4 linked regions of the Rattus norvegicus genome follow. The protein of the gene in region 4 interacts with the protein of the main gene of each other region in a biochemical or structural test. Links are inferred from orthologs where the notes say so. Each region holds a gene or a part of one and is shown on either strand. Other genes may lie near its edges. The genes, in order: Cdc7, Mcmbp, Dbf4 and Mcm4.

What was found.
Region 1: of the proteins of Mcm4 (region 4) and Cdc7, one has a biochemical effect on the other in vitro, tested with the Homo sapiens proteins (2 studies listed by BioGRID). The link is inferred for Rattus norvegicus from reciprocal best matches to the Homo sapiens genes MCM4 and CDC7.
Region 2: the proteins of Mcm4 (region 4) and Mcmbp form a complex in vitro, tested with the Homo sapiens proteins (2 studies listed by BioGRID). The link is inferred for Rattus norvegicus from reciprocal best matches to the Homo sapiens genes MCM4 and MCMBP.
Region 3: of the proteins of Mcm4 (region 4) and Dbf4, one has a biochemical effect on the other in vitro, tested with the Homo sapiens proteins (2 studies listed by BioGRID). The link is inferred for Rattus norvegicus from reciprocal best matches to the Homo sapiens genes MCM4 and DBF4.

Annotation. Positions count from the first base shown.
Region 1 is NC_086032.1:2,954,480-2,961,964, forward strand, and holds part of Cdc7 (cell division cycle 7-related protein kinase), read right to left. Parts: intron 6,583-7,485; coding exon 6,489-6,582; intron 6,406-6,488; coding exon 6,263-6,405; intron 5,556-6,262; coding exon 5,306-5,555; intron 4,747-5,305; coding exon 4,651-4,746; intron 3,883-4,650; coding exon 3,707-3,882; intron 2,884-3,706; coding exon 2,801-2,883; intron 928-2,800; coding exon 778-927; intron 1-777. UniProt on the Homo sapiens protein: Kinase involved in initiation of DNA replication. Phosphorylates critical substrates that regulate the G1/S phase transition and initiation of DNA replication, such as MCM proteins and CLASPIN.
Region 2 is NC_086019.1:192,710,227-192,717,711, reverse strand, and holds part of Mcmbp (mini-chromosome maintenance complex-binding protein), read left to right. Parts: intron 1-2,692; coding exon 2,693-2,871; intron 2,872-4,107; coding exon 4,108-4,231; intron 4,232-6,134; coding exon 6,135-6,252; intron 6,253-7,485. UniProt on the Homo sapiens protein: Associated component of the MCM complex that acts as a regulator of DNA replication.
Region 3 is NC_086022.1:26,640,179-26,647,663, reverse strand, and holds part of Dbf4 (protein DBF4 homolog A), read right to left. Parts: intron 7,379-7,485; coding exon 7,199-7,378; intron 5,517-7,198; coding exon 5,466-5,516; intron 4,020-5,465; coding exon 3,950-4,019; intron 3,756-3,949; coding exon 3,679-3,755; intron 1,451-3,678; coding exon 1,414-1,450; intron 1,322-1,413; exon of another isoform or gene 1,304-1,321; intron 517-1,303; coding exon 471-516; intron 1-470. UniProt on the Homo sapiens protein: Regulatory subunit for CDC7 which activates its kinase activity thereby playing a central role in DNA replication and cell proliferation. Required for progression of S phase.
Region 4 is NC_086029.1:98,764,231-98,771,715, reverse strand, and holds part of Mcm4 (DNA replication licensing factor MCM4), read right to left. Parts: intron 6,946-7,485; coding exon 6,850-6,945; intron 6,767-6,849; coding exon 6,671-6,766; intron 6,209-6,670; coding exon 6,070-6,208; intron 3,936-6,069; coding exon 3,715-3,935; intron 3,417-3,714; coding exon 3,296-3,416; intron 1,269-3,295; coding exon 1,009-1,268; intron 530-1,008; coding exon 164-529; intron 1-163. UniProt on the Homo sapiens protein: Acts as a component of the MCM2-7 complex (MCM complex) which is the replicative helicase essential for 'once per cell cycle' DNA replication initiation and elongation in eukaryotic cells.

The sequences.
Region 1 (7,485 bases), on a different chromosome or scaffold from region 4:
AGACACACACATCGTGGTCATTTGAGTTTGGGCTACCAGAGCGAGGCTGAAGTGACTCTCGGCACCCTGTAGACTGTGCCGCTGCAGTCTTAACCTGTGCTGCTAATATTTATGCTCATGAGCTGAGTGTGGTCCACACATCTGCAATACAGGCACTGCAGAGAAAGGCAGGAGGAGCCCTGTGTGCTCCAGATGGGCCACAGGTACAGTGAGACCCTGTCTCAAAACTAAAGAAATCCCTTGTCATGTGTGCATGCATGTGTGCACACATGACAGTATGCCATGATATTTCTTCTCGGCCACCCTGACCACACAGACACCAAGGGCTAGTAATACACATTTCTGTTACCTTCCTGCACAGAATCCTTACTTCAGGGCCAAGTACAATGCTTAATATACAACAGACTTAAACTTACTATAAAAATGTACAGAATAAAAGCTAATTACAATGGAAGACACAGATTACAAAGCTGACAAAGAAAAAGGAATGTAAAGTTCAGCCTTAAACACTAGTGTACACACACAGCACTCTGTAGTGTACAGACTGTCTACTCTTACACACCAGTCACTAGTGCTGTGTGTGCTGGCACACGGCACTCTACTGTAAACAATAACTGTTTAAACAAAGTAACTGTTTTCAAGCAAGTGAATGATTTCCTAAGGGTACATACATGAATACTGAGTAAGCTTACTTGTAAGGGGAATTTTGTAACATTTATTTAGCAATTTATAGGCGACAATCAAAAGCATCTGCTTGTTCTAGGATTTAAAACTTACCAAAAGCTTTAGCAGCCTGGATAGTTTCCCTGGATCCTCGAATTGTCATGATTTGGGCCAAAGCAGTTAAGTCATCGCTGGCCTTGTAAAACGGGTACCGCCCACTGAGCAAGGAAAGGAATATGACACCTGCAGACCACATGTCAATCGCTGTGACAGAAAACATACTTTAAAAACTAGCCCGAAGTTCTCAATGTATGATCACCTAAACCAGTAGCTGCAGGACTTGACTGAGAGCTAACAGCATCTGAGAAGCCCAAGTTAAGACACCCAGGCTCAATCCATCAGAACTCCCTCAAATACTTATGGAATAGATACTGAAGGTTCTTGGGAGACTCTAAAGTGCGACCACAACCCTAGCTCAACACTCTTTCTGCAGAGCAGTTTTCTCTCTTGAGCACGCTGCTGGATTAGAAATAGCTCATCATTAGAGAACTGAAAGTAAATGTACATTTTATAGGGTCAAAACAAATTCAACAAGAGCTATATGTGAAGAAGTCTGGATGTTCTTCAAGATGGTGACTTGGTAGATACATATCTTCCATTCAGTGAGACACACTGAGCATTGACAACAGCACAGCTACAAGCCTGGCTTTGAGCCCTAGCACCTGAGCAGAAACAAAGCCAGGCTGACCTGACCTTTCTCCTAACACCCTAGTGTTACGTGCTTGGAGTTCTCCTGGCCACTCAGCACTGCCCTCTCTTAGTTTCATTTGAATCACTGTCTGCTCAGTCAGAGCTGAGGCTCCTCAGAGTCCAATCTCTTCGCCATGCATTCTCCCGTCTACTTCCCTCCTTTACCCATGCTAGACTGTGTTTCTTCCCGGGCTCCTTCCCTGGGCTCCACACTGACCTCTTGCTCTGTAGGACAATCCATCTGGATGTGCCACAGATCTCAACCCAGCCACGGCTCAGTGCAGTTCTACCTCTGCTCTGACCAGGCTCTTGGTCATCCTGTCTTGTTTCTGGGCACACGCCCATGTCCCTCAAGCCAGTACTGTGAACATTCCGAGAGCTTTCCCTTCAGCCCACCATGAGTGTCCACACGCAGCACCTTCTTGGCTTGTCTGCCATCTGCTCACCTTCATTTTCATTCTTATTACAAACGTGTGCACCCAGGCCCTCCTCACCTCAGCTGGACCCCGGCAGGATACTAGCCTGCAGAATCTACTCTCCCTGCACTGGCCTCCTAGGACGCAGCCATTCTCTCTCCCCCTGAACAGCAGCTATGGCACACAGTCCCAGCAGTCACTCGGTGCACATCGAACGTCTCCTGACTCCCCTTTGTACTAACAACACTACTCATGGCCTCCCCCTCAGAGATGCTGTTTCTTGAGGCTCTTGGGCCCTGCTCAATGCCAATCTCTGACTGGATAGGCTTTCCTCAGGTGCCTTTTCTATCGCACGACCTTCCTTTCACAACCCTTGGGGTGACAGACGCTCCTCAATGCCCTAAGAGCGTCAGCACGTTTGACAGGTCATTTTGTGCTCATGAGCATGTGTGTCCTAACGAGAATGGGGACAGCTGTGCTCATTCTACAGCATGACAGCAAGGCAGGTGCACAGTGGAGCCAAGGACCCGCAGGAGCCGCTGCTCATTTAACTCAGAGTCTCCTAGGCTCTATAGCTTTTTGGACTCTAGTAACCTTTTACCCTTTTCAAAATATGTTAACTGCTATTATATTATTTTCATGGAAGAAAAAAAAGGAAAAAGAAAAACTCCACCTATACCACAGAGAATTTCCAAAGTACTAAGTAAACAGGTGAGCACTGCGATTCTAACCCTGACCAAAAACTAAAAGAAAAAAGAAAAAGACTGAATATACAGTGTCCCTGACAGCTGACAGCAAGAATTCTCTGTGAAATTATCTTTCAGATAGTCTGAACAAATATAATCTATAGGGTGGAGTGGGGTGGGGGTTATTTTTAAAAAGCAGCATTAAGATCAGAAGTTGCATAAAGAAACACATCGTCTGAGAAGCCCTCTGCAGGGTGAGAGCAGGGCCCTTCTCCAGCTCTGTACCTGTAGTCTGGTCAGGACACTTTGTCAGGACCTCTGGCGCTCTGAATCCTGGTGTGCCTGCCCTAGGGGCAACCTGCTGCCGCCTTAAGAGGAAGAAATAAGACAGCCAGTTATGCTGAAGTTGGACTTGGAAGACAGAGGCTAGCCTCGCCTACATAAATAGTTCTGGGACAGCCAGGGCTACTTAGAGACCCTGTTTCAAACACACACACACACACACACACACACACACACACACACACACACACACACAGAGAGAGAGAGAGAGAGAGAGAGAGAGAGAGAGAGAGAGAACAAAAATCCCTATGTAAGCTATTAATTTAGTTCACACAAAATCCTGTCCTGGTAGCAGTATAAATAAAATTCCTATAAGCAATGAAAACTTAATGTGATAAACATTTATTCCCCAACCTCCACACCCTGGCCTAATCCTTATGCCCTGGCCTTGTCCCAGACAGATTTCAACACAATTTCCAAGTATAAAAACAGATGGCAGATAATAAAAAACATAATAGAAAAATATAACTTGACAGGAATTCATATAAAAACTCTTGTTTGGAGTCCTGAGTTACTGATATACTCATTCACGTGTAGATTTTAGTTAATCAGGAAAGATCTGTGAAAACAACGTCTGAAGAGACGCATCCTTGTCCTGGTTACTGAGTGCAGGCAGGGTGGAGAGGGCAGAAACAATGCCATCTGCAAACAAAGGTCTCCAGGGGTCCTACCCATCCAGCTGCACTCAGCAACTGTGATTTCCAGAGAAAGTGGTTTCGCCCATTGAGTACGTGCCAAGCTGTCTGCTCACTGCACTGCCGTGACTAGGGCCTCTGTCACTCCCTCTCACTCACAAACCAGTATCCCAGTCATTTGCCATGACTCTCCAGCATGGCAGGAGCATGTTACCTCGACAGGCAAACGCTGCACACTCTATCTGTTCCATAGCAGTCGCACGTGAGGGCAGCTGGGCAGGACCTGGCAGAGTCCCTCATCGAGCTATTCACAGCCTTTGTAGAAACGGCCATCTTTTTTGTTGCTAGCTTTCTTGACATTATGTCCACAGTCTTCGATTGCTTGATGAGCTACAAAAGAAGTTGTGACACTCAACACGATGCCTTCCAGTGTGAGCACATTACAAGCAGCGTCAGAAGCATGAGCTTCACTCAGAACTGCTGAGGGTACTACCAGATTGCAAGTCTAAACACATTTTAAGGCCACTGAACATGGTTCTACATGGTTAATAACAGCACAACTAGGGAGGCTGAGGCAGGAGGATTCCAAGTTTGATGACAGTTTAAGCTATGTAAAAAAAAAACCCTGTGTCTCAAAAAAAAAAAATGTGTAAAAACTTTTTTGGGTTTTCTGACAAATAATATTAAAAATTACTATTATATTGGCAAACATTTAACACTGTAGTAGAACACTTCCCGATACAGCAGGAAACACTGTACCAGTACTAACAGTTACTAATCACTGAGGTCTGACTCCATGTCACAACCGTCGCCTGCAGTTACACTGCCCACACCAGCCTGCTGCTCATCACAGGTGCCTTCGCCAACTGGAAACCATCCGACCTGAGGGCACTGACTGTGGGAACTGGGAGGCCTGGGAGCTCACGTGGGAAGCCCAACCTTGTTCTGACTGTTCTCTAGAGAAAGAATGGTAATAGATAATCAAAATAAAAAACTCCACCCAAAGGAGTCTGTGAAAGACTGAAGACTGAATTCTGAGTAAACGTGTGAAGTAGCAGTGCCTCTGCCAAAGCCAAACAGGCGCTACCCCAGTGGACTCGCTGACTGAGCGGTCCGTGCGGCTGACTGACAGCTGGGCTAGGAAGCTACATTACTTACTTTCTCTGCAGGGCTCTCATGTGAAATGGAGCTGTGTATATTGAAATTTCTTTCTCCAAAAACAGAGCGCTGGACAGAAAGGCCTACAGACCCCTCCTACAATACCAACAGAGACAAGGAGAGTTAAGGGTTAGATCTGTAACACTTTCTGCCAGCTGTCCTCTGCCACAGTTTTGAAAGACTAAAGACATCCCAGGCACTCGGGCACAGAGAGGAGACACAGTCTAGGCAAAGCTCGGCACCCACACCACGTCACCACAGTGCACACCCACGACACTAAGAACTTTAAGGCCACCCGCACAGGCGCTTCATCTTCCTGGACAGCCAAAATGGAGACAGACATTTCAGAATTTCCCCTGTAATAATGCTCTTTAAAGAGAGAGGGGAGACATCTAATTTAAATTCTATAACATGAATTTTTGTTTTATCATATAATGTAATCTATAACTGCAAACCATAAGCTGATAGAGTAGAACATTTCAGTTTAAACAAAGGATATTGATTCAGTAACACTCAGTACTAACCAACTAAAACATGTAATGTAGGTTTGCAAAGGCTTCTTAACCCTAAGTGCTCTCCTAGTATTAGGTCTCCCTCTGTTGGTTGATGGGAAACATTCCTAAATCGTTCTTATTGAAAATGTAAAAGGTAGAACCTTTCCGTCTTTTCCTTGCTTAATGTGAATCTGTGCGTTTGCATAGGATCTTTTGACAGAAGTTTTTGTGGTGATGTGCTGATCCACATTTTTAGGTGCTGGGCGACTCAGTGGGCCCTTGTGTCCAATGACTCCATGACATTTGTTTCGTGAACAATCTTCCTGCTGAGCTTCAGACTGGACAAACTTGAGCAGCTCTATCTTTGTGTCACGGGTTCCTTGGGCCAAACCGAAGTCCACCAAGGCATACCTTAGAAGCAAATCGAGTATTATCACCCTCCTAGAGAGATTCAATCTTAATAACATTGTGATGTTGTCAAATCACATCCAAAACTATACTTCATTCTAGAACAATTAAGAATGTATAATATTCTTTAAAAAAAGAAAAACTAAAAATTCCCAAGAACTTAATAGCTAAGGCTGGACATTAAAGCTGTGTCCTTGAACCAACCGGCCGAGTGCTGTCTGCTGCTCCCTGGCCTGCACCAAGACGAGGCAGAAGAGGACTTAGCAGAAGAGGACTCAGCAGAGACAAACGACAGAACCCTGCCTTGTAGCAGGGAAGATGGCGCAACAGCAGAAAATTTCTAACTAAACAAGGGCCAGTGAATACTTTTAAGTCCTTACCATACCTAAGTATGATATTTATAAGGTCGTGTCCATATAGAATCAACAAAAATACTCATGTAATAACTTTGGTTTTCACACAGAAAATGGATTATGTGATCCAACATTCTCATTAAAACAAAAATAAAAACAAGGTCAAAGGTCAAAACAGGCCAGGCTCCAATTCCTTCCACCTAAGTTCGTCTCTCAGGATGCGCATCATGTTCCTAACACAATCTCACTTTCTTCATTCCATTCCCCCTCCCCAGTCACACTGAGAACACTGCGTCTCAGAGATGGGCTCCGCAGCGTGAACCCGATGCCAGCGCTTCCTGGACTCTTGGCACTCACTTTTTCAGGCGTCTATTGTATAAAAAGTTACTGGGCTTCACATCACGGTGAACAATGCCAAACTGGTGAATCCGCTTCAGAGCTACGAAAAGGTTGAACATATATTCTCGAACTTCTTGAAAGGAAAGAGAATTCAAAATGTCCTAAAAGAGAGTTATGAACCACATCACAAATTGTTTCAATTTAACCATTTAGCTGATTAAAGTTAAAAACGATTAAAACCTACCAGAAAAGACTCATGTTCCAGGTAGGGCATAGCAATCACCACATGGTCGTTCTTCCTGAAGCAGTACTTCACTCCCATGACATTGTCCTGCCCCCTGGTGGAAAATGCACATGAACCTTAGAGGGAAGGTCGAACGCACCGTAACTTTATGCCTTAAAAAGAATTAGTTGTGCAATGTACATGTACTCACTACTAGAAGACGCAAAATCACATTCATGAATATAAGCATTTAACTGACATATAAAAGATAAAATTTTCAAACTAAAATAGCACCAGCTACAAGGCCACTCTAACAATGCAAACATGAAATATCTGCAGATAACACGAGTTATCAGCAGATGCGATACGCCTAGTAACACCCCCTGACCATCTCCATGACCAGCCAAGCTTTGGTCTAAGCATTTTACACCTATTAATACTCAGCCTGACATCCTCAAACCTCTTCTGTCAGCCCAGAGAGCTATACGGAAGAGCAGAAAATTTAAGAGCCAGAGGGGATGGATGACTCCAAGAAAACAGACTCTTCCAGATATAATACTGAAACATGCATAAATTCACAGAAGCTGGGGCAGCACACACAAGTCCAAACCAGATGGGGTCCAGCACTGCGGGGTAAGATATGGGCTCCCACCCCTAACGAGGAGACTCTCCTGCAACTGGCACCTGCTTGCAAAGGAAATTAGCCTTCCCCAACGGAGTCTCACAGGTATACTAACCACATGCAACCAACCGAGTCTCCGGGGTACTGACCACAGGGAAGGCAGGCCCTACCCAGCAGCAGACGGCCAACACAACAGCACAACAACAAAGGCTTCACTCATTTTTATAGACACACATTGTTTTGTTTGGGTTTTGTTCTGTTTTGTTCTTAATAGTCTTTGCCCTGTGTGCTATGGTTTCTGACCGTGTGTGTGTGTGTGTGTGTGTGTGTGTGTGTGTGTGTGTGTGTGTGTGTGTGTGTATTTTGTGCGTTTATTTTGTTTTTTGAGACAGGGTC
Region 2 (7,485 bases), on a different chromosome or scaffold from region 4:
GTCTTTAAGAAGTAGCTTGTCTAACTTAGGATTTCAACTCAAAATTCCCGCGGAGCCCATGCTATAAGGAATATGAGTATCCTGAAAGACTTTCTTTACAACTTTCTTTAAAAAGCAGCTTTTAATCTCTAACTCTCTGAGCTGCCATTACTTATCACATAACAGGGAACCTATTAGGCCTTTCCTTTGTTTAAGGTTCCTGCGTTTGGGCCATCATGTGATTCAACATGTCGCTGGTCCCCTCTTACTTAGAAAATAAAACTTTCAACTCTTAGGATTACTAGTGGATTCTCGGCAATCACGCTGGTTCGCCATCTGTTGTTGTAAAATTGTAAAAGAGCTGTTTTTTACCCCACTAGGTCTGTCACCACAGTGCCCCAAGATATCTGATAGATATCTTGCTGGAAACACACATCCCAACTCCATGGTGGCCCAGTGTCTCTGCCACCACACACTCTCCCAAACTAAATTCTCCACAAGAAAGAACACAACATAATAACCTCTGATCCAATTGATAAGATATAATTGCCCACCTAAACATACAAAGCCCTATACACATCTATCCCTTAAAAATATTCATAACAACCTGTAAATACACAGAGTGGAATCTTTACATCCATGTTCTCTCAGCAGCTTCTCTTCCAGTCTCCTCCAGTCTCCGTCCTTTCCGTTCCAGTCTCCTCCTCTTCCCTCAAACTTTTCTCCTGCCCATCCTCTATTTCTATATTTTCTGTAAGAAACTATGAATTTGCACACACATAATCTCAGCACTTAGACGGTTGAGGCAGAAAAAATTGAGCCTGGGCTGTGTAATGTAGGAGGACCTTCTCAAAAAAGAAAAAGCCCTGAGTTCACACACATTCAATACAAGCTGTCGTTCTAATTTCTTCCTACTGTAGTTGCCCACCTGTCGCCCTTGGTGTGTTCTACAGTGCACACAGAAGGGACTTAAAGGCCAGCAGTGCCACCATCGAAAGAGCCTCATCCTTAGAAGCTCTGTGTGCCCAGTGTCTTTGTTTTCCTTTTTCGTCTTCTCAGACAGCGTGTTACTATGTGCATCAGGCTGGCCGCAAACGTGTCAGTTCTCCTGCCTCTGCCTGCAGCATGCCAGGACTACAGGTCTACACCGGCATCCAGTACCCCATTTTTTAGAGTGAGGCTTTGTATGCAGAGTGCTGCCCTCCACAATGGCCCCTTTTGATTCTGGTATTCCTTTTGTGTAGGTCATTTGTGTAGTCACATTTCACTTCCCAGCTCTTCTGTATCCCTGCCTCATGACTATGCGATTCCAGAAGTGCCCAAGAATCGTCTTTGTGTGTTCCACAGCTCTTTTGGTCTCTCACTGCTGGGACCCAGCTTCCTAGTCTCTGGCTGTCCCTCCTGTGTTTGTACATAGCTGTCCATGTATGTTCATCACAGTCCTTTTTCCTTCAGGAGGGTATTGTGTATTTGTGTGGTCTGGACCAGACGTGGTGACGTAGACCTTGCTCCATCTTTCCTTTTGCCAAAGGGAAGGAAGGTGCCACCAGCTCACTTACAGCAGGCCTGTCATCGGCCTTCTACATACAGAGCAAAAGGGAAGGAAGGTGCCACCAGCTCACTTACAGCAGGCCCGTCATCAGCCTTCTACATACAGAGCAAAAGGGAAGGAAGGTGCCACCAGCTCACTTACAGCAGGCCCATCATCGGCCTTCTACATACAGAGCAAGAGCCCAATAATCTTCATACTTAAAAATACTGGGAAAGCCAGGCATGGTTGCATGAGCCTTAACTATCAGCTCTCCAGAGGCATAGGCAGGCAGACCTATGAGTTAAGGCTAGCCTGTTCTGCATAGTGAATTCCAGGATGGTCAGGACTGCATAGTGAGACCCTATCTCATAAACAGAAGAAAGAAAAAGAAAAAAAGGAAACAACCACAACACCAAAATGTTGGCAAATATTTTCTTGTTGTCTCAAGTGTAGCCATGGCTAGCCTGGAATTCACTCTGTAGCCCAGTCTGGCCTCTGCCTCCCTAATGCTAGGGTCGTAAAGGTGTGTGTCATCACAACCAACAGTTTGCCTTGTAAATTACTTGACCACTGAGGCCTCTTGGCTCAGAGGGGAAGGGCACAGACTGGGGCAGATTTGGGAGCAAATTTGTGAACTTGTCTCGTGAGATCTGACAGTTTGTATAGTGTTGAAGACTTCGCACACTTTAGTCATTTGTGCAGTGACTCCAGAATGAGTATCATGTTTGTTGATTAGCAAGCCTGAATGTTCACACTCTTCTAATCACTTGCTCACACTTTCAAGAAGTATCACATCAGAATAAAGTTACGCAAAGACCATTAGCAAGATAAAAGTGAGTGGTCTCCACACTAAGTAATAAAGACCTGTGGATTTTGGAGAAAAAGATCCCAGTGTCGTTACCTGCTGAGAATGCAAGGAGCATCTGCTTTGACATGGTCTTCTGAGTGACATCCTCTGTCATGTACACGGCACCACCCATGGCAGTAAGTCAGACACCCAGTCTTGGCAGTAGAATAAACCCAGTGACTGTACGCTGACCTGGCAGGTGTGAGTGATAAAAGCACTTTAGAGTGAGGGACAGAGAACCCCTCGAATAGGATTCTGAGTTGTCTACAGAGTGCATTTACTTTTACACTTTTGCTAGTTGACATCTCTAAACCAATGTATCCCTCTCTCCCCAGGGATGCCTCTGCACTGCTGGACCCCATGGAATGCACGGACATGGCCGAAGAGCAGAGAGTGCATAGCCCTCCCGCTTCACTAGTGCCAAGAATTCACGTGATTTTAGCCCAGAAGCTGCAGCACATCAATCCATTGTTACCCACTTGCCTTAACAAGGAGGAGAGCAGAACCTGTCAGTGTGAGTGTTGGGGCCTACCGATGGCAGGTTCCCTGTGTGAACTGCAGTCCCTGCTCAGCACAGGGAGTTTTCTAGTCATGTCTGTGGGAGATGAGACCTAAACGACGAAGGGTATAGATTGTCTTTGTTCTCACGTCTATGTCACTTTCTAATTTTTTTAAATTTTATTTAATCTTTTTTTTTACACTCCAGATTTTATCCCCCCTCCTCATTTACCCTCTGACTGGTGCACATCGAATACCCCCCAAACCTCTCCCCCTCACGTCTCCATGAAGATGTCCCCATCCCACCCCCTACCCCACCAGACCAACCCCACTCTCCCTGGAGCCTCCAGTTTCTTGAGGCTTAGGTGCATCTTCTCTGATTGAACCCAGACTGGCAGTCCTCTGCTGTACATGTGTCGGAGGCCTCATCTCAGCTGGTCTGTGCTGCCTGGTTGGTGGTCCAGTGTCTGAGAGATCTCAGGGGTCCAACTTAATTGAAACTGCAGGTGCTCCTACAGGGTTACCCTCCTCCTCAGCTTCCTCCAGCTTTTTCCTAATTCTACCACAGGGGTCAGCAGCTTCTGTCCATTGTTGGGTGTAAATATCTGCATCTGACTCTTTCAGCTGCTTGTTGGGTCTTTCAGAGGACAGTCATGATAGGTCCTTTTTTGTGAGCATCCCATAGTCTCAGTAATAGCGTCAGGCCTTGGTGCCTCTCCTTGATCTAGATTCTACTTTGGGCCTGTTGCTGGACCTCCTTTTCCTCAGGCTTTTCCCCATTTTTGTCCCTGTAGATTTTTCAGACAGGAACAATTATGAGTCAAGAGTTTTTGACTGGGATGCCAACCCCATCCCACTTGATGTCCTGTCTTTCTGCTGGAGGTGACTGTACAAGTTCTCTCTCCCCACTGTAGGGCATTTATTTCATCTCAGGTCCCTTCCTTTAAATCCTGAGAGTCTCTTACCTCCTAGATCTCTGGCATATTCTGGAGGGTCCTCCCACTGAGGAAGAGTAGAATATGCGTGTGTCAGGGCACAGATGTGGAGGTAAAAGAAAAACTTAGAAAATCCACCTCTCCTGCTGCTGTATGGGTCCTGGGGATCAAGCTTAGGTCATCAGACTTGGTGGCAAATGCCTTTACCCTCTGAGCCATCTTGCCTTACCCTAATGGCATCATTGTCTCAAGAATTGTAGTACTCCCTCCTGCTCTTGTACGTGCACACTCTCATTGGCCATTCCTTCCTTCTGCAGTTGTGTCCAATTTCATGTCCGAGTTGTCTCCAGTCAGAGCAGAGCTGCTTGGATTCCTCACTCATGCACTCTTGGGAGACAGTTTGGCTGCTGAATACCTTATATTGCATCTCATCTCCACCGTGTAAGTCTGTGCTCTTCCTGGGAACTGGGGTGTGGGAGAAAGAAGGGAACAGCCGTGATGTTTGTTTGTGTCTTTTAGTAAATCAGCTTTGTCTTCAAGTGGGTTTTTACAAATGCTGCACCAAACACAGACTCCTTTCCCCACTTTACTTCGTTTCACATAACGCATTTGTTTCCGTCTCCAGATGGGATGTGACTGATGAGTAAGACGAACTGTTGGTTTCTCTGCACTCGTTTTATTTTTTATTTTGTATATACTTCAAATGTTGTATCTCCTGGTCTCCTCCCTATACCCTGTTTGCTTGTTTATGTGTGTATACTTCTCCAGGCTCTGCTTATAAAACAATGAAGTCTGTCTTTGTGTACATTTAGTTTGTGTATTGACTTTAATGCTTCCACCCTGTTTTGGTTCAATTTTTTATTTTGTTTTTGTTTGTTTGTTTTTGTTTTGAGACATGTTTTTTGTTTGTTTTGTTTTTGGCTTGTTTGTTTGTTTGTTTGTTTAGCCTTGCTCGTCTTTAGCTCTGTAGACTAGACTAACGTCGAACTCACAGGTCTCTTCCAGCCTCTGCCTCAAGTGCTGGAATTAGAAGTGCACACCACACACCCAGCTAGGGCCTGGCCTTTCACTCCACCATATTGGGTTTTTGGGTTGGTTTGGGATTTGTTTTTGTTTTTGTTTTGTTTTTTGTTTTTTTGTTTTTTGTTTTGTTTTTTTTTGTTGTTGTTGTTGTTGTTGAGACAGGGTGTCTTGGAGCTGTCTTGGAACTCACTCTGTAGACCAGGCTTCCCTTGAACTCAGAGATCCGTCCACCTGCCTCTGCCTCCTGAGTGCTGAGATTAAAGCACCACTACCTGGCAGGTTTTTTGGTTTTTTTTCCCCCCCAAAAAGAAAAGCAAGAAGAAAATTATCTTTCACGTGGGCAACAGTTTTCCCATCTAATACTCGAGCATATTCTTTGGTTTATGTTGTAATGTGGGCCCATCAGTTGTGGTTGAAGCACACACATCCTTACCTGCTTTTTAGATTTAATATTTAGTTAGCCTATCACAATACTTTTTTTTTTTTTCTCTCTTTGAGATAGGTTTTGTTATGTAGTCCTGGCCTAGAATGTTCTATGTAGACCAGGCTGGCCTGGAACTACATCAAGATCCTTCAGCTTCTGTCTCCTGGGTGCTAGGATTAAGGGCATGCCACCATAGTCAGCCTTCTTCCTAAGCTTTCTAATGACCTGATGTTCTCTCATTATAGATTTGTGCCATACTGTAACCATTTCCCAAAACATTAGGATTTTGTACTTTTTTTAATAAATGCTGTGATAGAAAGCATCTTATCTCCTGTCCCCTGGTGGCAGCTAAGATGGCGGGTAATGCTCAGGGTCACATCAGAGCTCTGTCTTGGCTTGACTAGACATCCCTCATGGAAAAGCACGGAACTCAGGAAGTCTGCCGTGCCTGCGTCATAGGCACACTGTTGAAGTGAGATGGTGAGGCAGTGACCACCAGCTCATGTCAGCCAGGCCTAGCCAGTAAATCTGCAAATGTTGTAAAGCACTTCAGGTCTCAGCATTTTGGATAAGGGATGCTCTCCCCATTCCTCAAAGTGGCTATTATTTAACTGCCGTTCTGATAGATAAAAAATGTCTATTTTTACCTTATATGTATGGCTATTTTGTCTGCATATCTGTGCATGCAGTGCCTGTAGAAGTCAGAAGACGGCATCTTCCTAGAACTGGAGTTACAGGCGGTTGTGAGCTATTCCGTGGGCCTGGGACTTGAACCCTGGTCCTCTGGAAGAGCAGCCAGTGCTCTAACTACTAAGCCATCTCTCTGCTTCTGCAAACTTTATAATGATGGCGTCTCAGTATCTTACCCTTGGTTTTGTGTTCTTTCCCTTCTCCTAGGTATACAAGAAGAGATGTACTTCCACTGGGAAAATTTACAGTTAACCTGAGTGGTTGCCCACAGAACAGCACCTTCACGGAACACCTATATCGGATCATCCAACATCTTGTTCCAGCAGTAAGATAATATTATGAAGGCTTATGAGTGGGACAAACCCAATTGTTTTCCACTCACCTTGAGTATTAACTTTATGTTCCTAGTGGGTCTCATTTACAAAGGACAAGACCTGCCAATTGACATAATTTAAAATGCACCCAGCATTCACTGATTGACCCAGCACAAATCTGTAATCTAAAAATTAACGCAGTGGCAGTGACTCCCTTAGAATTACGTTTCCAGTCTGTGTGAGTTTGTTCCTTTGTGTGCATATTATGAAGTGTAAAGAAGCTTTAAATCATAGGAGCCTGGTTCTCTCAGCTGAGGTAATAAAGTGGCCCATCTCCACGCCCCAGGGCTTGTTGCTATCTGGAAGCATCTGGAATGCACATTTGTGTCAGGATCTCAAGGACCGGATTTACTCTGATAACTAAAAATTTTGGCCACTTTGGGACTTAAGAAGTGAAGCCAGGTCCTTCTGAACAGCCTGTCGAGTCTGCACTTCAAGCCCTGCAGAAGCAGCAGAGTCCTGAGGATTTTGAGCCTCTTATTCAGTGGGCTGTGCTTTCACTAATGTCTGACATTAGTAATTAAGACTGAAGACATGTTGAGTAATTCATTAGGAAATAGTGGTAAAACTGACAGTGTCTTGCATTTTGCCGTGCTCTTGAGTGTCTAAATTAATAGACTATTTTGGTTAAAAAAAAAAAAAAAGAGGGGGAATTATTTTATCCCACGCTAGCCGGACCGTAGGACCACATGGCACCTGCAGGATATTCTCATCTCAGTCAGCAAGGGGTCTCGCCCGCTAAGCTCCATCCCATCTCACACTGCCGAGGCTACTCTGAGCCTGGCAGCAGTCTCTCTACCATCTAGTTCCCAAGGCGAGTCTCTGCCATGCCAGTTTCATGCAGAGACCGCCTGTCTCGCAGCTCTCTTCCTGTGGACTCTGCTCACATTCCCAGCATCCACCCCCTGGTCCCAGCAGCAGCTATCCTCTGGTAACGCTCGGCCACTGCTCTGTTTACGTTCCCAACATCTGCCCCCTAATAGTTATGATATAAACTCCCAACCACCCCTTAAAATCAAGACTCAACAAACTGCAACCCAACATCAGATTTATATCTCAGTCCATAATACAATAAACTCACAACCAATTGATAAGGATATAAACTGCCCAACTAGATAAGATAAATTTGCCTACAGAAACCCATCCCAACTCCCTTAGCAATTCAGGACCACCGGGATCTGGGT
Region 3 (7,485 bases), on a different chromosome or scaffold from region 4:
AGCAGTGGTTCTCAACCTTCCTAATGCTGAGATTCTTTAACAGTTCATGTTGTGGTGACCCCAACCATAAAACTAATTTTGTTGCTACTTTATAACTAATTTTGAAACTGTTATGAATCGTATTATAAATAATGTTTTCCAATGGTCTTAGGAAACTCTGAAAGAGTTGTTCAATCCACTGGGAGTTGTCAACTACAGGTAGGGAAGCACTGCTCTGCTCTAGATACTTTTTGAAACTGTACAGTTTAGTCACGTCAAACATTAAGCTGTGAAAGCATCACCACAGTTCTTATACCTTGCAAAAGTAAAAACCCCACACCCCTCTATTTCCTTCCAACCCTGTGCAACCACCAGTGACCAAATCTGAGTATTCTGAATAATTTGTGTACATCAAATAATGCAGTATTTTTCCTTCATACTTCCTCTATAGTCCCAACTCAGTTTCCAACACACTGGACTCTGACACTTACCGGTTCACATCTTCAACCTTTAAAAACGGCTTCTTGAGTCTCCCTGCTTAAGAAGAGAAAATACCATTAGACAGTTGCACATCAGTAAAGAGTCTATTGTGGTTAAAGCATCTAGAAAACCTTTACACCCAGAGAGTTGAAAAGTGTAGGCCTCAGGTAAAATATCTTCCATATCACATGCTGAGATTTGTTTTGGATTTTGTAATCTGGACTGCGGCAGGCTGGGCAGTAGTTTCCATACTCCAGCCTTGGTCTCTGCGGTGCTGGGACTGCAGACCCATGCATTGGTGCCAACCATATGAGATTCTTAAGCTGAATGGCACAGCTCAACAAAATATTCAGTGTGAATATTTTCACACTAAAAAGCTATCTCAAAATAATCTTTATGTTCATCCCAGTAAATGGATTTGAGTAGTTGTTTCTTCTGGGACTATAATACATTTTTAAAAACAGTTTTGAAGATATTAATTTCGGGGTTGGAGATGGAGCTCAGCAATGGAGGGCATGAACAATCTTGTAGAGGACTCAGTTTCTAGCACCTATGTCAGACTAACAACTGCTACAACTTCATCTCTAGGGACCCAACACCGTTTTCTATCTTGTTTGAACATCTGTAATAATGTACTCAAACTCCTCCCACACCTATAATAAAGCATCTTTACAAAATTATTAACATGGGGAAGAATAGCTTAAGTGTCACCAGACTGTCTAAAACAGTAAACGTCCATGTTCTACAAATTACTAAGAAATCGTTTAAAGAACTTTACCTCAGAAAAGCTTTCTAAATACATACATTTGGGTATCCTGGAGGTTAGACTTAGGGTATCATGTACCTGTGGTAAGTGCTCTATCATTGAGTTAGAAGGGCCCAAGCTTTAATCTTCATGTTTAATTTTTTTCTAATCTATAAAAGAAAATTAAACAATGTATCAGGAATACTTACTTCTTGCTTTTTGTATTCCAGTACCAGCTTTTTTCCCCTTTAAAAAAAGAAAACAAATAAAGTGAAAATATTGGGTTTAAAAACACAGAAAAAACTGTCCAGTACTTTCAAGAGAAAAAAAATGTATAGGAAAAATACTTTATCAAAGCAGGATGGCTATTGTACAGGGTGAAAATCATGCTTCTTAAAATCAATTCAACCAAATAACTGAATGGCACTCAAGAATTAAAGGTACTGATCATCTCTACAGAATTCAGCCCACTTTACACCCTCTGTTGGAGAGTGGTGACGCTGGTACTGATCACTGAGCCTTTAACATTAATTAGAATGGAAAGGGTACAGTTAACAGTGCAGACCTATGTGAAATGCATACCTGCAGGTGAGTCAATGCACTGACTACAACTAAACTCTCAATAGCACCCAGTGAGCCACTACACAGGTATAGCAAAATCTTAAGGAGGAAGCAGATTTTAGTGTCAGGTGTATCACATTTAGGACCTAAAGTAATAAAGATGTCACAGTGAATAGCTTAAAAATTACACTAACTTCATCTTTTTCACTAGAGAAATAAGGAAAGAGGCTCCAGTAGCCCAGAGAAATCTCTATTTTTTTTCTTCCAGTTGTCCTGTGTGTGCCCTCCAAAATGTAGTTCGGGCAGTAGTGTGGGCAGTACGGGAAATCCTCAGTCACCTCCATGAGGAGGTCGGGGAGAGATCCATGAGTAGAGGATTAAGGAGGAAGCTGGAGAAGGGCATCCCTAGCTCCCTAATCTACACACGTGCTGGGTCGAACTCAGCATCAACATTGCCCAAGCTGCAAGAAGATCCAAAGTGTGAGCACAGGAAGGGCTTTGGAAGTGGAGCTAAGATTTAATCACTACCCAAATCTCAAGACAAACCCACAACTCCAGCGCTGCAAGTCTTTAAAAACTGCAGGCAGCCATAAATTCAGGACAGAATTTACAATCTGGACAAAAACAAAGCTGTTAACACAGCAGTACTGCCAGGCACGGTGGTGCACAACCCTCATCCCAGCACTCGGAAGGCAGAGGCAGATGGAGCTCAGTGAGTTTGAGGCCAGCCTGATCCACAGAGTGAGTTCCAGGACAGCTAGAGCTACCTTGGTAAGACCTTGCCTCAAAAACAAAACAAAACAAAACCAACCAAAACAAACCAGCAACAGCAAAAACAAAATCAGTCTTGTCTAACTATTGTAATAGGTAAGGAATCTACACAACATTGGCAATTTCTTGTGTGTAGCCAAAATTAACCACATAAAAGATACTTAAAAGATTTATACTGAACAGGAATCAAAGGGGTATGGCACTCAAAATGCAAAAGTTTCTGGGTGGACTCAGTAGCAGAACGTAAGTGACAAAGGTGCCGGTACATACAAAGATAATGCCTAATACCCATTTCTAACCGGAAGAGGGGGAAATCTCAATGGACACTACCTCAGATACAAGTCCCTGGTGTTGCTGGAGTCCTGAAGTGCAAGCTGCTTATTCTGCTACATGAAATTACCAAATTTCCTAACTACTTTGTCTCCTTCTTTCTATGTGCCAGAGCACAGAACTTTCTTTTCTTTGTATGTAAGTCGTTTAAGAATTTATGCAGTAAAAACAAACCAACAAAGAATGGTCCGAGAAATAAGAGAGAACAGGGAGAAGCAAAGAGTTCAAGGAAGGACTGGGCAACACAGGAAAACCAACACAGCTGGCTTTGAAAGGAAGCAAAGGATATGCTAACTGCTTCTGAGTTCCATACCTTGTCAGTTAAAAGTGAGTGAGAAATATAGGAGCAGAGATCTGCAGAACAGTAAGAAATGGAGTATACGGATGGAACAGTAGTTAGACAGGGGTGTACAATCAGAGAGTCTAGTGTGTAGACAGTGACTCTGTATAGAGGCCTTGAAGATGAAAACAGGAAAGACTGTACGCTCCGAGGATAGGAGAACAATAGGACAATCACAATAGCAAACACCTTTGGATTTTCTTATATGATAGGCTAATCTTAGTGTTCTTCTACAGAATAAACAAAATATCTCTTAAAATATAGCAGCAACAAAAAAGGATGAAAAAAACCTATGCTCTTACCCCCAAAACAGTTTTTACTTCATGAATATAAGCTTCAAGTCAAATGACACACAATTCAGAAACCAATTTTTTACTTATGGGGGAATTACTCATAGATATTAAAAACAAACACACAAACAACAAAAACAAAAACCAGGCTGCCGCCTTTAAGAATAGTTCAAACTACATACCGAATCCCTCCCAGAAGTATTTGGTTTCTTGAGTGCACCCAAAGCTTTCTTCTTCTGTTCAATGTAGTAGCGAATGTCTTTATTGAAAGAAGAACTGAAGGTTAGCAATTTTACCTTTAGAGTTAATCTGCGATGTTAAGTGGCAGTAACCTCACGTTAAGGGTTTAACATTGGAGATACTCCCCTTCTACCAAAATTTTTATATGTAAAGCTAAGACCCAAAGGACAGACATAGGTATGTACAACAAATATTGTCAAAAGACCATCTTACCATCAATATGAAGAATCTTTACTCCCCATGATAAGGCGTTTGATAATATACTATTAGCAGGAATAAAATCCTGTAAAACAAAAAAACAAGTTTGTCTAAAAACTATTTTTAAAACTTTTTAAAATCTTAAAATTTATTTAAATCTTAATGCCACTGAAGAGATTATGCATAAATGTCCCTAATGAATTACAATAGAAATGAGGACCCTGTTTTATATTTTGGCATTCTTAAATCGTTTCCAATTAATATATTCCTGTTTTGTTTGAAACAAGGTCTTGCTTTGTAGCCCTGGCTGGCCAGGAAGTCAGAAATCCCCATCTCTGCCTTTCAAGTGTTGGGAATAAAGGTATACCTGTTGTGCTTGGCCTAACAATTAGTGTATATTCTTAACAATTAGATGTTTATTCTAAGGTAACTTAAAGTTTACAGTAATGTTTAGCATGACCACAAGATGGGGGTGTTCCTCCAGGAAAAATAAGTTTCTATTTCTGACAGAATGAGATATGCTGTAACTTGAGCTTTTTTCATTAAAAATTATATATTCTGGAGTATCTCCAGAATATCTTCAACTTTCAATTAAAAATTTTGTGTATGTGGTGTATACATGTCTATGTGACGCAGAGGCCTGAGGTCAATGCCAAATGTCTTTCAATCTCCCCACTTTAAATTTTTTAGATAGAGTCACTTGCTGAAACTGAAAGTCACTGATTCAGCTAGGCTGACTGGCCAACTACCTTTAGGGACCCATGGGTCTTACCCTCGCCCTCCCAAAACACTAGTGCTAGGATCAGAGGCACATCTCGCCATGCCTGGCTCTTCACTTTTGATGTGGCTTTTGGGCATCCAAATTTAGGTTCTACTGTTTTCATGACAAGCATTTTGCCAACTTTATTACCAGTTCCATGAGTATTTATTACATTTACTTACTCTATATGTATGTTTGCTTGTGTGTATGTGTATCAGTGCACACACACCAGAGTGCACACTTGGACATGAGAAGACAATTTGCAAGTCAGTTTTTCTCTTCTGCCATCTGGGTCCTAGGTATCAACCTAAGGTCACTAGTTTTGGCAGCAAGCAGCTTTACCCACTGAGTCTCCTAGCCAGCCCACAATTAAATTTTTAATAAAATATAGCAGTACACCTATTATATATGACAGCATATATCAATAATGGCAGCACTTGGAAGTCAAGATATATAGCAAATTTGAGGCCAGCCTAAATTACATGAGAAACTGTCTCAGAAAATAAGACACTAAAGAAGCAAAATATGCATCACGTGTTTTTACTTCTTCCCTGTCCCTGGATGTTTCTAGCTCTGGCTGGTGTTGAATCCCTTATGTATCTGAGGCTGTCCTTGAACTTCTAGTCCTCTCGCTCCCTGGAGTTGTTAGGACAGGTGTATGCTGCTATGCCTGGCTTATGAAGAGCTAAGGATCTCACGTGCTAGACCAGCACTGTCCCAGCTGAGCTCCAGCTGAAGCCCGCACGCTGTGAATTCCAAAGTCCTACTCACATGATCCTTGACAGCTTTCTCAGCTAACAACTTTCCTCGGCTCAAACACACCTGTAAGAAGACCAAGGAAATAATTACAGTACTTCATCAGAGAGAAAGTTAGAAGAGAGAAATCCCTGAAAGTAGATAAGTGTTGTTTATATTGTTCCAATGGCTATGAACACAGTAAATTTACAGTGAAAAGTGGCTTCATTATTCTCTTGGCACGACAATTGAAATTTTTTCCCTCTTTTTTTTTTTTTCCAGGGCAGAGAACATCAACAAACATACCAAGCAAAAAGAAAAGCAGAAACTGAATGAGACTCAAGAGGACCAATTCTTTAGTAAATGAAAATAGCTAACAGCCACTGACACTTTAAAGTCAAGCTATATAGCAAATTTGTGGCCAGCCTGAATTACATGAGAATCTGTCTCAGGAAAAAGAAAAAAAAATCTACACTTTTCAGGTTAACATCAGATTTGATTCTTTTTCCTTTTTGGTGGTACATTCTAGCAGCATTCTACAACTGAGCTGTATCCCCAATGCTTCTCAAACCTTAACTTTAGATTTGGTCTCACTAAGTTGTTCTAACTACCCTGAACTTGTAATTCTCTTGCCTCACATTCCTAAGGAGCTGGGCCAACAGGCCTGGCTTAGCTTTATATTAAATGAAGATTTAAGAAAAATAAATGTTATACACAGCTTTTATAAATTATTTCACCTTTAAAGTAAGGCAGCACAAACAGTGGTTGGAAGGCTATGAAGCAGTTGTAGTCATTCTCACTGAACAGCACAAGCCTGACCTAGTGTCCGCCTTTCCTCACAGACTGCCTTTGCAATTCATGTTTCCTGTGCATTTCAACTGCTTTTCATGTGGCTCTGCTTCAAATGCCAATTTAATTATATTAGTATAACAACTTAGGTACATTAAGCGTTTTATCTCTTACTGTCTTTTCTAAGTATTTATATCAGTTTGCCCTTCCTTTTGTCTTCCAATTTGAAAGAAATGTACTGCAAGAAAAATTTTAAGCATGGATCAAAACTATTTTTATGCAATGGGACAAATGTATACCACTGTAGGCCTTGTAGACCACATAATATTTGTCACAAAGACTAAATTCCACCTAAAGCATGCAAGCAGCCCTAACATTTATACAATATTTACACAAATATTTTCTACTTGTCACAAAATACTATTTTGATTTTTTCCCCCCACCAACCTCTGGATATGTAAAAATATGCTTAACTTCAAGGTTGTGCACAGTCAGTCAGTACACTGTAGATGGCTGGTTTATCTACTTTGAAAGTTTTAAAAGTTTCTATTTTTCTTCAAAAGAATGGCTGGCTATTTACTTTTGCTGTAAATTATTCTAAAAATCAAAAGCAACCTGTCTAAATTGTAAGTGCATGCTTTAAGAATCAGGGGACAACTTGACTACTGTGTTATTAAGGAAAAATAATCACCTTTCAAAATGACAGCAAAATTAGGCGAGAAAGCCACAGATCTTTGGCATTATAACCATTCCACCTATGCATTGTAACCCTGCTACCGAAAGCCCAGAGTCAGGTGTGAGGGAAAGCATTTGTAAGCCCAGGACCTGGGAGACACTAAGGCAGGAGGAATGAGAATTGTGAGGTCTGTTTGGACTACATAGGGAGAGTTCAAGACCAGTCTGAGAGGGCTACATTGTGAGACCTTGTCTTAAAACAAAAAGAAAGCCATGAGGTCTCAAAGCATCGATGACACACTTACTCTGTCTTGAGACTTAAAGGAGCTTCCATCATGGCTGGGATGAGGGGAGGTGGTTTCCGCAGTATATGCAGATTCCGGACTTGGTACAGGAGAAACTCGACCCAACGTTTGTGCATACTTTGCTTCCTTTTTATTTGAAACAAGATAACTGATATCTTTGCTGAGAAATTCTTCAACTCGCTAGAAGAAAACAAAGTATTTATAAAAAATTCCAAAGCTCTTTAAAGACACTGTGAACAAATTCCAATTTCATGTAATCTAATATCTTACAAATTGGCGCTTTTCAT
Region 4 (7,485 bases):
TTTTTCAAATCAAAAAACAAACTGGTAGTAACTTTAACACAAACTCAAGTTTGTTAAGTACTACATATTAGTGAGTAAAAGCAACTAATGTAAGAAGTTTTAATATAGAGCTTTAACTGCAAACTATTGTGAGCTTGCAGTCATAGTGGACATCAGCACTCACCTTTGCAATGGACAGAGTCTGCTGTTCCATGACCTCATGCAGCACGGACCTTGTGCTTTCATTCATTTTGTCAAACTCATCAATGCAACATATGCCATTGTCACTCAGTACAAGGGCACCTGTCTGGAGGACAAGCTGCCTGGTCTCAGGGTCTTTCATCACATAGGCTGTGAGGCCAACTGCACTGGAGCCTTTTCCAGATGTGTACTGGCCTCTGGGAACCAGGTTGTATACATACTGTAGCAGCTGGGACTTGCTGGTGCCAGGGTCACCACACAGAAGGATGTTAATCTCAGCACGGAATTTACCCCTTCCAGTGTGACTGAAATCCTTCCTTGTTCCACCAAAGAGTTGAAGTAGGATTCCCTAAAAAAACAAATACATCTAAACATTCATTTGTTGTACAGTGTATGCTTAGCATATGTTTTAGAGGTTCTTTTCTATTTTATAAGTTCACAGTATTACCAAATCATCTAAGAGTACTCAGGCCATTCTAAGTATTCCTAACCTAAGTAGACATTATCCTAAAACTTGACCAGCATGAATCCCTGTTCTGACCCCACATAACTTAGGTTTAGGAACACGATTGTACACAGCAGAGATGGGTCTATAAACAACAAAATAGTAACACTCAAAACATGAATATGCAAAGCACGAATAAGTGTGTACACCTCCCCTCCCCCCAAAATTAACACTCAACTATCCACAAGGCAGGAGTCAGTGCCTTGCTATGTTACAGAGCAAAGAGTTCCAACCTCTGGAAGACAATAACAGAGGCAAATGGACCTTTAGTTACGTGATTCTAAATAACTGTGAATCTCAATACCAAGCTAAAACATTGTTACCTTTTTTATATCTTCATGTTCATAAATGCTGGGAGCCAAGGCTGAAGCAAGCCGCTCATAAATATCTGGCTTCCTGGAAAGTTCCTTAAGCAATTTCACACGTTTCTCTGAAAAAAGTTTCTGTTCTGCTTCTTCATCAAGGCCATGCAGACGTTTTGCATCCGTTTTCCGATAATGGATGACATCAATGTGGGTTTTATAGACAGACTTCACGTTGCTCACTCTTGGATTAACTCGAATAGGTACTGCTCGATATATGCCTAAGAACATAGAGAGGAGACACAACTACCTTTCCACTTCTCTTCTGTAAGCTCAGTGGTCAGCAGAGGCAATGTGCAGTACCTAGGGGCTCCATCTCACTTGAGCACCCACTACCTTAGTCTTCCAGGCTAAGGCTTCCATTCAGAAGTCAAGACACGCAAGAAATGGCCAAGGTGGGGAAGAAACAGGTTTTTAAGAACAGATCCAAAATCATATTTGTAATCACCTGTGTTATATGAGCTTAGGGAATTATCTGCATAACTATTCAGTACACAATTGTAGGTGCAAAATGAATAACAAAAAGGCTGTGTCATGACAGTATTTAATATAGTAATGTCATTTCCTTAAGCTAAAAGTAAAAAGAATTTACTTAGTAATTGGCTGAACAAAATACTAAAGCCCATACCAAAAACTTGGAAGCAAAAACCCTAAAAACCCAAATCTTTAGAAAGCAATTTTACGAATAGCAAGACAGACTACTTAAAGGTGAAGGGAAAATGACAATTTAGGACTAATACTAGAGAAAGGATATTTTCTGCATATCTTCTCATGAATCTAATTAAGGGCTGGAGATAGAGTTCACAGCAGAACATTCGCCTAATATATGCAAAGCCTTGGGCTTGACCCCTGCTACTGCATGCCACCATCACCCCAAAGAAGGTAATTCAGAGAAATTAAGTGGTAAATAATACTTTAACCACTCTAAATGTATACAATCTCTAAGGAAGGTTTTATTAAACTGGTATATCTGATGCTCTTCTTTGGGTTTCAAACTAGCTTTGAACTTCACAATAATTTTATTTCCTGTTTCTTAAAAAAATAAAATCTTTAATTTATTATTAGTGTATAAGACGCTTGTGTGTTTGCACGCATGTGCCAGGGTGTGGTGTGTGGAGGTGAGTGGATACTTTTGGGAACTGGTTCTCTCCTTCCATCATGTAGGACTAAGGGAAGGAACTCAGGTCATCAGAATTGCATGGCATGTACCTTGATCCCCTGGACCATTTCTCTACCTTTTGAGGACTAAGCCTGATCGCCTCATCCTTATAGCACAGATCATGATCCTTTAACAAAACAATGTAATTCTCATTAAAAATAGAAAACCAGCTTATAGCGCTAGTGAGATGCTTCAGCAGGTAAAGCCTGAATCAATTGCCACCAAGCCTGAATCAATCCTCAGGTCCCAATGTGGAAGAAGAAGAAGACTTCTATAAGCTAATTCCCTGTTTTTTCACCCCAATATACAAAATTTCAAAAAAAACCCCCAGCACTTATGTAACAATTACACTTTACTCACGGAGGAATGTGAACTAGATTATTAATGACATTTTGAACACTCCGGTTTGTTCCTGTAGGTGATAAGAGCACTGGAGGGAAAACTAAGGGCAAGGGGTGGGGGCAAAATTGGATTGTAGGGCTCTCTTATGTTGGGGAAGAAATCCTGACTTACTGGGTAGCTGGGTCAGTGAGCCCCAGACTCAGAAGTCAGGGATCCTTGGATTCAAATCCCCATGAAGAACAATGTTGTCACTCAACCCATCACCCTTGACCAAGTACCCACAACATTCCTCCAAAATGTAGAAAGTCTGCCACATGCAAATAGCATTGAAGACAGGACAGTTTCTGCATGAAGAGACAGCATTTAGAATCTAGAAACACAAATTATGCAGCAATGAATTGCAAGTCAAAAAGTCAGCAATAGCTTGCTATATGTAAAGTGTTCTGTCCTACTCTCTAAGTAATGTTAACCCTTACCTGTACACGTAGGAAATAGTAGAAAAACATGCATTTATGAACCCCAGTTGGCTTTCTGTCCTTGAGTTACTAAATAAATACTCCCTAATGCTGCTCTTGTGACATCAACATTACCAATCTGAGACATATGCAAAGTTCTGAGAGATAGATCTACATGGCAAGGACCCACCAGGACCCTGATTTTAAAACCTGCATCTGAGAACTTAAAGGGTTAAATAGTAGTAAACCACAGCATAACTTTTGCCTTTTTGTTACAAATCTACATTCTTACCTGTGACATTCACTCTGTCCCCTGGCTGAACCTTGTCTACAAGATCATTGTGGGCAAAAAGGACAACAGTGTGAGGTGTCTGCCCAGCAGGCATATCTTCAGGAGACTCTTGAAGCTTGATCTGAAGAAGAGTAAAGAGAAAAATTCAAGAAACAAACAAAAAAACATGGAAAATAATTACAGGTCTCTGTATAGTGCTTATACGATGTTTGAGACATAGTATAGCAATACTAAAGCCTCAGTGTTCTCTAAATTCAAGTCACTAGTAAAACCAACAAAAATGGAAAGAGCAGAGTTCTACCAAGGAGGGTTGAGGGTGAACTGACAAACTAAATTTGGCTGAGGATTTACAGAGAGGCAGGACACAGGTAGCAGTGTGTGTTGGAGAACCTTATCATGGGTGCAGAGGGGCCACGTACCATCTGCTTGTCAGAGAATAGTGAACGGTTGTGGATCAGTGCCATACTGTGGGTAGTGTGGCAGTGTACGCAAGTGCAGGGCTCAGCAATTCGGCCTCGGTCCATCTCTACCCGGGTGGTATGGGCACAGACTTGGCACTGGAAAAAGGCCTCCTGCATCTCGGGAATCAGCTGTGACGTTCTGATAACCATGCCACTGATGGTGATGAGCTGATCAATGTCTGTAAAGGAAGAAAAGTTGGCTTGTCCACCAGCCACTTCCCTCAGCCCACCCAGGCCTGGGTCTGCCACTAAAGCAGAATCTCAACTCAAGTAGAAGTATAGATGACCAGAGATCCAGCATGCACCATCAGCAGAATCAGCTGGTTAGTATCCTCAGAACTAGCCTAGGATGCTCTACCTATGTCCAGCCTGCTTTCCTCTCAGCACCAGTATACTTCTGAACTTTTTATTTTATTCTCTTTCTCTTTCTGCTCCCCTTCCCTCTCTCAGTATATGAGCACATGCATGCCACAGTGCAAGTGTGGAGATCAGAAGACAATTTATGGAAGTCAGCTCTCTTGTACTATGTGAGTGCTAGGAATCTAACCCATGTGGTCAGTTTCAGCATCTTTACCCATTAAGCCATCTTGTTGGCTAACTGCTGGCCCCCGTCTGGCCCTTTGTTCCTTAGGTGTACTGCTTAGAAGACATCAACAGGTGAGAAGTTTGATGTGTAGGTATATTGTCTCCCAGCCTTTCATCTCATCCACAAAACCACCTGGAAGACCTGAAATCTCAGGTAAAAATCTTGGGCTGAAAATGCTTGTGGTATGGGGAGGGTCTGCTTATAATTTCAACAGCAGTGAGGAGAAACCAGAATTTTTAGGGCTTGCTAGGCAGCCAGACAGTCTAGTCTAGTTGCTGAGTGAAAAACCCTGTCATTAACAATCAAAAAAGCTGGATAGCAATTGAGAAATGATACCCTACATTTCCTCTGGCTTGCACAGCATGTCCTTGTATACAAGAACAGTCTAGACAACATGGACAAAGCATTTATGACCCCGAGGATACTCTGAGCCTCCTTTTCTGACACCTACCAAATGAAGCAAGGACATAGCTGAGGACATCATAAATATACACATCTATTTTTATAGTTAGTGCCTACGAGAAAAAAAGCACTTTGCCTATCAGTAACACTATCTATAAAACAAGCTTCTTTTACACTTTTGCTTTCCATTTCTACTCTTGCTTTTATGCCTCTCCTCTAGTTGCTCCTTCCTTAACACCTCTGCTGGACTCAAAGGCCCTCCTGTCCCACCAGTACACAGTGCTCCTCACAAGGCCTTTAAATATATTTCATCCATTTTCTTGTTTGCCACTCTGGGCTAACCCTCCCCTCCTTCCCTTAAAATTTATATGCAATGTGCCAACTTCTGAAATTAGCTGATCACTCAGCCATTCTTCTTTCCAGAAGTAAGATTTTTTAAAATAAAAGTATGATTTTACCTAGTAGCTATCTCCCTTACTACCTTTTTTAAAGGTTCACACATGGATGAGTGATCTACACTAATTTACACTACAAACTTCACACATGGAAACACATAATTCTGACCTGTCCAAGTTAAGATGCTAATGTCTCATAATTGAGCCACCATCAGAATCTAAATGAATTTATATGTCATGTGCTTCACTGAATTACACGAGTGGAAAATCTTTCTCTTCTAAAATTTCCCTATTTACTTTGAAATAAAATTTAAATTCTTTGTTGGGATTCTAAGCTTTCTAGAGCTAGCTTTTTGGGTCCCAAACCCTGTCTCACAAATCCTTGCTTCAGCCAGCCACAGATGCAAACAGCATTTTCTATTTTATCCTTGCTTTCTGTTATCTAAAAGAAATTCTATCACATTCACTTATCAAACTCTATTATCTTTCACAACCAACTTTTCCTTTATAGGTTCAGGACTTTGTCTATTCCCTAAGGCATAAACAGACACTTATCTTCTGCTCCTGCTTTCTTTACCCCCCAAGCTAGAATTTTCTTAAGTTTAAGGAGAGCTCAGATCATCAGGTTTGCTCAGCAACTGCTTTTCTAGCTGAGCTGCCTTGCTGGCTTTTAGTATTTTTCTTCAGTGACTAAAAAAGTGCACCTACGAGCTAGGGATTTATTATATTTGGATAAATTAATTTTACAGTTAATGAATTGTTAAGTCATTTCTATCAGGTATTCCAGTTAAGTTAAAAAAATGCATACTAAGTTGATAAAAGTATACAGAAGAAATCTTTTCAACTTCTAATCTAATGCTATCGTTACCCACCACACAAACCTTGAGATCTCTTTCTACATAAGGCATTTCTCTATACTAAACATATTACCTTCTGGATTCAAGTTTCTCATACTCTTTGTCTTCAATGCATTAAAAGGTCTGACTTGAATCTGATGTTCTAAGATGGAGTCAGGATAACGGTCAAAGAAGATCTCATTGACAGCCATGTCAAAGGTTGGTATAACCTCCTGTGAAAACAAACAGCAAGATGTAGGGGACGAAGAGATGACTCAGAGTTGAGAGCATTTGTTGCTCTGTTAGGCAACAGGATTCAGGTCTCAGCACTTTGATCAGGTGGCTCCTAAGCACCCTTAACTCCAACTCCTCTTCTGAGTTCCACAGAATCAGGAGTTCAAGTTCTCTTCAACTACAAAACTACTTTTGAACATTCCCCTGCCTCACAGGCTTTCAATTAACACCCCCTCCCATAAAACCCAAGAAACCACTAGTAAGGTTCATTATTTTTAAGAAGCATTACCAATTAGTAAATATAAAAAAAGTACTCCTCCTATTAATTGTAGAAAAACAGTCTGCTTTAAGAAATAGTCAACCTTTGCTAGTATCCTTTTTACCAAAATATAATTCTGCTTGCCAGGAACATTCTTGGTAAACATTTACGTTAATCAGGAAGCTCAAAGTCAAATTCTTACCTGTGGGTAGGAGATGAGCTGTCTATACAAGTTTTTGCCAAATGATTTTATGTGTTCACAGTTCACATTTAAAAATGGCTCTCCTGTAATATTAATCTGTAAGATACACGTACGTCATATTTTACTAATCGTATTATCTCAAAATATAAAACTTTCACTTGTAAATCATATTTGATTACCTCTCCAAGTCGTTGCATGTACAAAGGTTGCGTAATATCTATGCCAACATTTTCTTCTTCTTTGGCCAGAGGATCAGTAAAACATTGAAGGAATCTCTTGATGTAGAGAAACAATATTACGTTTTAATGAGTGTAAGATATGTAGCTATTATTAAGAGAGAGAGAGGGAGAGAGGGGGAGAAAGGGAGAGGGAGAGGGAGAGGGAGGGAGGGAGGGGGGGAGAGAGAGAGAGAGAGAGAGAGAGAGAGACCAGCAAGAGGGCCCGTAACTAAGGATACCTGATTAGAAGCCTGACCACCTCAGTTTGATCTCCAGAATCCACATGGTGGAAAGAACCAGCCTCTACAAACAGGCCTCCACATAAAAGCTGTTCATGACATGCTTCCCCAACCCCAGCAATAAATACATGAAAAAAATTGAATATATAGCTATGTGTAAAAAAAAATAATTTCTCCTTTTTGGGTTTGAGACAGGGATCTCACTAAAAAGCCCAAGCTGGCCTTGAACTTTCAGTAATCCTCTGCCCGAGTGCTCAAGAGATTAAGAGTTTACCACCTAGCTGATCATGGTGGTATGCACCTTTAAGAAGGCACAGGCATGCGTGAATTTCAGGCTAGCCTGGTTACAAATGCAGCT